Linked DNA regions of Ovis aries. The protein of the gene in region 2 binds, or shares a complex with, the protein of the main gene of each other region. Links are inferred from orthologs where the notes say so. Each region holds a gene or a part of one and is shown on either strand. Other genes may lie near its edges. The genes, in order: DKC1 and TERT.

Region 1 (4,545 bases), on a different chromosome or scaffold from region 2:
AGGTGATGGAATTCCAGATGAGCTATTTCAAATCCTGAAAGATGATGCTGTGAAAGCGCTGCACTCAATATGCCAGCAAATCTGGAAAACTCAGCCACAGTGGCCACAGGACTGGAAAAGGTCAGTTTTCACTCCAGGCCCAAAGAAAAGCAATGCTAAAGAATGCTCAAACTTCCACAAAATTGCACTTATCTCACATGCTAGTAAAGTAATGCTCAAAATTCTCCAAGCTAGGCTTCAGCAACACGTGAACTGTGAACTTCCTGATGTTCAAACTGGTTTTAGAAAAGGCAGAGGAACCAGAGATCAAGCTGCCAACATTTGACGGATCATGGAAAAAGCAAGAGAGTTCCAGAAAAACATCTATTTCTGCTTTATTGACTATGGCAAAGCCTTTGACTGTGTGGATCACAATAAACTGTGGAAAATTCTGAAAGAGATGGGAATACAGACCACCTGACCTGCCTCTTGAGAAATCTGTATGCAGGTCAGGAAGCAACAGTTAGAACTGGACATGGAACAACAGACTGACTCCAAATAGGAAAAGGAGTACGTCAAGGCTGTATATTGTCACCCTGCTTATTTAACTTATATGCAGAGTACATCATGAAAAACGCTGGACTGGAAGAAACACAAGCTGGAATCAAGACTGCCGGGAGAAATATTAATAAACTCAGATATGCAGATGACACCACCCTTATGGCAGAAAGTGAGGAGGAACTAAAAAGCCTCTTGATGAAAGTGAAAGAGGAGAGTGAAATGGTAGTTTAAAGCTCAACATTCAGAAAATGAAGATCATGGCATCTGGTCCCATCACTTCATGGGAAATAGATGGGAAACAGTGAAAACAGTGTCAGACTTTATTTTTTGGGGCTCCAAAATCACTGCAGATGGGGATTGCAGCCATGAAATTAAAAGACGCTTACTCCTTGGAAGAAAAGTTATGACCAACCTAGATAGCATATTCAAAAGCAGAGACAGTACTTTGCCAACATAGGTCCGTCTAGTCAAGGCTATGGTTTTTTAAGTAGTCATGTATGGATGTGACAGTTGGACTGTGAGGAAAGCTGAGCACCAAAGAATTGATGCTTTTGAACTGTGGTGTTGGAGAAGACCCTTGGACTGCAAGGAGAACCAACCAGTCCATTCTGAAGGAGATCACCCCTGGGATTTCTTTGGAAGAATGATGCTAAAGCTGAAAATCCAGTACTTTGGCCACCTGGTGCGAAGAGTTGACTCACTGGAAAAGACTGATGTTAGGAGGGATTGGGGGCAGGAGGAGAAAGGGATGACAGAGGATGAGATGCCTGGATGGCATCACTGACTCGATGGACGTGAGTTTGAGTGAATTCCGGGAGTTGGTGATGGACAGGGAGGCCTGGCGTGCTGCGATTCATGGGGTCACAGAGTCGGACACAACTAAGCGACTGAACTGAAGTAGAGAAATTGAGAATTGTTTATAAAATTTGATAGCAGTCTCACATTGTTGCAAAATTTACCTGTATTCCACAAGTGTTGGGTACACTGGAAATTTAAAAGAAAACACAAAAAACAAAAAACCTCGGGTCTTCATCTCAACTACCTTGAGGAACACTGATTTAGGCAGCCTCATCTAGCCTTGCCTAAGTCCAGGATCCATTCTTAATCAACTGTTTAATACTCAGAAACAGTATAAAAGCCAGACATTGAGCTGATGCAAAACACATACCTTTAGCAACAGGGGCCACTGAGACGTGTCCAACTGAGCCACTTTGGATTCAGGTTTGATGAGAAAATCTTCAGCATGTTGTATTTCCTTCCAGAGGACAGAAACACAACTTGTTAAGACTCCCCACTTGAATCTGAACCCTTCCATTACAACCACCAAAGTCTATGCCTGTGCAATAAAAAACAAGGTGTCTATTCCTGTTCACTGAGATCTCCATAGGAAAGAGAAGAAATGAATGAAGAATTGAGAAAAATAAGTGAAGCGGCACCAAGACGGGAATAGCCAATTTAAGAGAAAAGAGGGATAGTGGGTCTGATAAGAAAGACAATTTCAGGGAAAGCAGTCACTGTGGGCAACACCATTTAGCAAAGTGTGCCTGACAGCAGAGACCTAGGCTGGATGGAGCTTTGTAGTTTCTATCTCACGATGACACCCCGTTCCTTCAAAATCTTTAGAAACACTTCTTTTCTGCAATCTGGCCTCTAAGAAACCTTTCTTTTGAGTCGGAGCAGAGTAAAAATATTCCTACTCACCGCCACAGCCTCCTCTGGTAATGATTTTCGCTCCTTTTTCTTCTTGTGTTTCTTCGGCAAAATAAGGACTTAAAAAACACACACAAGAATTGGGAGTTTTCCCCGAAAATCAAGGCGATCGAGTTGAAAATAGAGGACGCATCAGGGCAGCTGAAAAACGGCCGTCTGGTATAGGCTCGTAGGGAAAGCGAGGGGGGTCAGGCCAGTGCCCGGAGCGGCCGGGCGGGCTCGCGACAGCAGCCGCACGTTTCCCCCTACAGCCCGGTTCACCACGTGGCCGCGCGGGGCTGAAAGGCCCTCAGCCCGCAAGTTCCGTCAGGGACCGTCCGACGGTCCTCAAGGGCTTGGGGCCCCTAGAACTTCTTTTTCGCCTGGGAGCTCCGCGCCCGCCCGAGCCCCTTGGCCCCTTCTCTTCCCTTCCTTGCGCGGCGCTGACCACGGCGGCAGAACGGGGGAGCGCGACCCAGGCCCTGTCGGCGGGAGGCCTGGGCCTCATGGCGTCACGTCACCGCGGGGGCCTCTCAATCTCTCGCCCTCACCCCGTGGAGCCAAGGCCAAGCGACAAGGTCGGCAGGAGGCGCGGCGGCTGGAGCCAGCGGACAGTTCTAGCCTCGATGTCTGCCACCCCCCACCCCCGGCTCCCCCCGTCGGAGGTCGCGACCCGGGCCCGGCCTGCTAGCCACCGGAGAACCGCCCTCACCTTCCGCGTCCGCCATGTTGCCCCGCTGAGCTCGCGAGCCGCGTGGGCCACCACCGCCAAGGAAGCGCCTGCAGGCTCCCGCCGCCGTCAGGCTGCGCCGCTAGGCCCCGCCCACCTGTGCGCCGCCCCGTGCGTGTCGTGCAGAGGGGCGGGGCGAGGCGGCGCGGAGTCCCCGGCGCGCGCCTGCCGGCCGCACCATCTCATTGGCGGCCGCGGCGGCCCGCGCTCGCACCGCCGCGCGGGCGCCTTGGGCTTCGCCCCGCCTTCAGCGGGCCGGCCGGGGAACGCCTGCGCAGCCCACCTGGGCGGGGCTTAGCTGTGGGCGTGGCCGGGCGAATGTCTAGTCTTTCTCACCGGTTTTTTTTTTTAAGTGAAACTTGGGCCCACCAGTTCATTCTAAAGGAGATCAGCCCTGGGTGTTCTTTGGAAGGAATGATGCTAAAACTGAAACTCCAGTACTTTGGCCACCTCATGCGAAGAGTTGACTGGTTGGAAAAGACTCTGATGCTGAGAGGGATTTGGGGCAGGAGGAGAAGGGGGCGACAGAGGATGAGATGGCTGGATGGCATCACTGACTCTATGGACAGTAGTCTGACTGAACTCCAGGAGTTGGTGATGGACAGGGAGGCCTGGCGTGCTGTGATTCATGGGGTCGCAAAGAGTCGGACATGACTGAGTGACTGACCTGAACTGAACTGGGCACCTGGGCACGTGTCTCAGCTTTCCTTGCTTCCCCACCCCTGACCCTTCAAGGTGGCTGTCGGATCAGTCCCGATGCCAAAGTGAAGACAGACGTCGAGGCACATAGAGCTTTGCAGCTTCTAATTTTCATCCTGCTAGAGCGGCACTGCCCAATAGAAACAGAGTGCGAGTCCCTTGTGGACTTTTAAATTTTCCAACATCCACTTGAAAAAAAAAAAAAAGCAAAGTAGAAGGTTACATCGGTTTCAGTAACAGACTGTGTTTAACACAACGATCGGCAATATTATCGTTTCAGCATATAAGCAATGCACAACATTATGAATGACATATTTTACCTTTTTTTTTTTTTCTGTACCAGGTCTTCTGGTGATGCTTTCTGGTCACAGCACAGCTGGATTGCAGCTCCACTACGGGTCTCCTTGGGGTTCCCTTGTGGCTCAGCTGGTAAAGAATCCGCCTGCAATGCAGGATACATTAGTTCGATCACTGGGTGGGGAAGATCCCCTGGAGAAGGGAAAAGCTACCCACTCCAGTATTCTGGCCTGGAGAATTCCATGGGGTCACAAAGAGTCAGACACGACTGAGCGACTGAACTGAATGGGGCTCCAGGTGAAGTGATCAACACTCACAGGTCGCTCACCGCAGCAGTACTGGACTGCCAAGCAACTAGCGGCTCCAGGTTCCAGCTCTTTTCCTTCTTCCTTTCGTTCACTTCTCTTCTCACTCTTAAGTGGAGATTCTTACACCTATCCCCCATAGACTTGATTGATCTGGGGTTATTTCTTTATTGCTGTTGTCAATGGAATTTTTAGCATCATCTTTTCTAACAAGCTGCTACTGACAGAAGAGGACAACTATGGCTCTTCTTCTATTTCCTCCTGTGCCATCCAAAGATTAGGAAT
Region 2 (3,801 bases):
GTCAGAGTCTGGGGGGCTGGCCACGGCCACTGTGACCGGGCAGAAAATGCCAGGCCGCCGGGGGCGCCGGGGAGGTGTGGACACAGACGGGCTGGGGTCTTGGTTTTCAGGGTGCATCCCACCTCCCCCCTGACCTCTCCCCAAGGCCGGGATCCACTGAGCAGAAAGACTGTGGGGTTCAGGGCCACTAAGCAGCAAGAACGAGTTTCGGTGAACTCCGGGGAGTTGGTGATGGACAGGGAGGCCTGGCATGCTGCCGTCCATGGGGTCGCAAAGAGTCGGACACGACTGAGGGACCGGACTGAACTGAAGCAGCCGGGACTGACGGCGTCTCGGGGGGGCTTGCAGAGCAAGGACCCTCACTCAGGCACCCCAGGAGCCACGCTGAGCTGAGCACGCAGTCCTAGCAGCCAGGGGGCTGGGCCTGGGGGCCCCTTGCAGCGGACACCGGGGAAGGGGGAGTGGGGCAGGCCAGACGCCACGCTGTCCGCAAGAAACCCTTGCAGGACTCAGGTCACAGCGCCACTGTCGGGGAGACACCACCCGCCGAGGAGGACTCATAAGCCCACCCGTTAAGGCTCCCGTTCAAAGTCTGCGCTTTGTGGAAAAACAGGCCCAGGTGTGACCAAAACCTCTCACACGACAGATAGACACAGGAGGAGACTGCCTGCGGGCCGGGGAGGCGCCAGTTTCTGGAATTTTTAAAATCAGTCAAGATAACACTGCTCACACAACAGGCAAAGCTGAGGCAGTCAACCAGAGACCGGGAACCTGTGAGAAAAACCAAACCTGAAAAACAGGCTGCCCAGCTTAAGGGCTGGTTAGATGCGTTTAAAACTAGAGACAGAGAAGGGCAGACGCGTGAACCAGAAGACAGGCCTGCGGAGTCCAGACTGGAGGAGAGACAGGCACATCGCAGCATCGGTGCACAAGCTGGTTCAAAACAGGCCCCAGGGACTTCCCTGCGGCCCAGTGGCTAGGACGCCAAGCTCCCAAAGCAGCGGCCCGTGTTCGGTCCCTGGCCAGGGACTCATTCCCCACACTGGAACTAAGATCTGGGGCAGCCTAATTAATTAATTAAAATAAACCGGCCCCGCCTGAATGCGGCAGCTGGGATAACAAACGTCCTTCCAGAGCAGGGGTCAGGCGGACAGCAGGCGGGCCGCGCAAGCGCAACACGGTTTCAGGCAGAGAAGCTGGGTCCGTCAAAGTGAAAAGCATCTGTTCACGGAGCCTCCACTTGCAACGGCAAAGGCAGGGTAGGCTGAGACAGCATCCAGGAGTGCCCAGAGGCTTGTCCCGAGAATGTGGGCGTATCCCCTCAGACAACAAAGGAGGCAGACGGCCCCACGTGGGGAGACTGGACGGGCGCCCCCAGTGCCCCCAGAGGACGTGCCAGCCGGGCGGCTGACACACGAGGTGCCCAGAGCCCGGTCCCCTGGACCTGGTCCCAGAGACGGGCCTGTGTGGTCCCACCTTGCGGCCTGGCTGCAGGCTGCAGCCCTGCCCTTCCGGGCCCCCAACACCGCCCGCTGGACCCTCTGAGGCCCGCGGGACCACACCTGGCACCTCTCGGGTGATGTCTCCTAAAATGACACAAGCCTGGAATCGGCCCCACAGGATTTGGGACAAGGGTTTGTCTCCACAAACAGCGCATCACAGGGCTGGTGGCAACCGCCTGGATCCACATCCAGGCATGAACCAGCAGACGCCCACCCGGCGGAAGGCTAGGCCTCACCCGGTAGCATCGGAGGCCGCCACACTGGGCCCCAGACCCCCGAAACTGGACCGGAGGGAGAGCATGCTTGCTTCACATCACAAGGTTAGAGACAGGTGAGCCTGCTGCCTGTCGGAGGAGGAGGCCTGGGGGGCCGGGGGGCGTCCTCTGGGTGCTGCCCCACCCGTGCCACACATCCAAGATCCCCCCAAGCTCCCTGCATCACACTCCCTGGACTCACAAACACGCTCAGCGGTGCCTGGGCCCAGGTTTCCTGTGCGCCCTCCCCAGCGCTTCCCGGGAGTCCACCCACGTCTGTCTCCGGGTACACACGCTGCTCTGAGCAGGAGACAAGCGCTAGCAGCCCCCGCGGCCTCGGGGTCCACCCAGCGCCCGCGTCCTCTTCCAGCCCTTCCTGGCCTGAGGCCCCCATCGTTGGGGGGAGAGGCGGCCCCGCCGCCCACCCCATGACGCACGTACGTGCAGAAGGCGGCGCAGCCTCGGAGTTGCTGAAGGACGCCCCCCCGCCCCGCCCTCACCCCCACCCCCGCCCCGGGGCACACACGGTGCTGCTCTGTGGCCGTGGGGACACCTCGGGACACCCGTGTGGCTCTGCTGCCGCCAGGGTCCCCCACTCACGTGCAGTCAGGCCTAGGGCAGGGGCGGACCGGATGGGAGTACCAGCAAGAGTGGTCCTCGCGGCTCCACAGTGCCGAGCGTGCGCCCCCCGCCCCCGCAGGCCACGCCCCCGGCACTGCACAGGCCCCGTGGCTCTTACGTGTCTCCTGAAAGACTTGCACACGCGCCCGCGCGCGGTGCGGACCACGGCGCAGCGGCGCACGCAGTACGTATTCTCCTGCGGCTGCAGCACGTTGGCGATCACCTCTGCCAGCCTGTCCTGGGGGAGGGCATCGTAGGCCCCCACCACGTCCGCCTATGTGGGAACAGGGGGCCTGAGGACACGTTCACCCCTAACCCCGAGTTTTGGGTCCGGCTTGTCCTGACCTGCCATCAGCCAATACTGGGGTGAGTTGAACATGAGGGATGGGCAGACCCTGTACCCCCATCCCTGCCCCCCGGGGGCTCTCTCTGAGACTCCCCTTGCCCTGGACTCTGAGCACCCCTCGGACTGGCCTGCATGCTCTCTCTGAGCTGCAGGCTGGCATCCTGACGACCAGGGCACAACACAGGGCAACCCGCCCAGGGTCCGAGCAGCTGTCTCCTTCCCTGGAGGGAGGGCAGGAGCCCCGGGGAAGTGGGGTGCACTCCCAGAGTACTCCAGAGGCACAGAGCCTCTGCCCCGGGAGCTGGGCCCCTGTCTTGCAGCTCACAGAAGCTGAGAGTCACGTTTAACATGGACGTGACCCCACCAGGGGTGACCCATCCTGGCACACACGGGGCTGTAGGAGGCGGTCACTTCCCACATCAGCTGGACCAGACCCACAGGGTCACCTGCAGCCCTGGCTCTCTCCACAGGGGTGGGGATGGGCGCCCACCTTGACGAAGTAGAGCGGAGGGGCTGGGCCCCGGGCCCTCAGGGGCAGCACGAAGGCCCTCCAGGCCCTGTGGATGTCGTCCATGCCCAGCACCGAGGCCCCCAGGAGGCCGGGACGCCGAGCTCGCTCGTAGTTCAGCACCGCGAACAGCGTCTTGACCCGCGAGCTGAGATGCTGCACCTGCGGGCCCAGCCCAGACGGGAGTGTCGCCAGAGCAACTATGGCCAAGGGGACTCGGGGTCAGACAGCCCCAGGGGTCATCCCCAAGGGGACACCAAGGGTCAGACAGCCCCCAGGCACCGTCCCCAAGGGGACTCGGGGTCGGACAGCCCCAGGGACCGTCCCCAAGGGGACACCAAGGGTCAGACAGCCCCCGGGGGCCGTCCCCAAGGGGACACCAAGGGTCAGACAGCCCCCGGGGGCCGTCCCCAAGGGGACTCGGGGTCAGACAGCCCCAGGGGTCATCCCCAAGGGGACACCAAGGGTCAGACAGCCCCAGGGGCCGTCCCCAAGGGGACACCAAGGGTCAGACAGCCCCCAGGGCCGTCCCCAAGGGAACACCAAGGGTCAAACAGCCCCAGGGACCGT

What was found.
Region 1: TERT (region 2) and DKC1 share a complex: the UniProt entries of both Homo sapiens proteins name them as parts of the telomerase holoenzyme complex. The link is inferred for Ovis aries from reciprocal best matches to the Homo sapiens genes TERT and DKC1.

The regions. Positions count from the first base shown.
Region 1 is NC_056080.1:81,268,908-81,273,452, reverse strand, and holds the start of DKC1 (H/ACA ribonucleoprotein complex subunit DKC1), read right to left. Parts: upstream 3,044-4,545; 5' UTR 2,958-3,043; coding exon 2,942-2,957; intron 2,310-2,941; coding exon 2,242-2,309; intron 1,796-2,241; coding exon 1,709-1,795; intron 1-1,708.
Region 2 is NC_056069.1:71,196,857-71,200,657, reverse strand, and holds part of TERT (telomerase reverse transcriptase), read right to left. Parts: intron 3,394-3,801; coding exon 3,214-3,393; intron 2,652-3,213; coding exon 2,496-2,651; intron 1-2,495. UniProt on the Homo sapiens protein: Telomerase is a ribonucleoprotein enzyme essential for the replication of chromosome termini in most eukaryotes. Active in progenitor and cancer cells. Inactive, or very low activity, in normal somatic cells.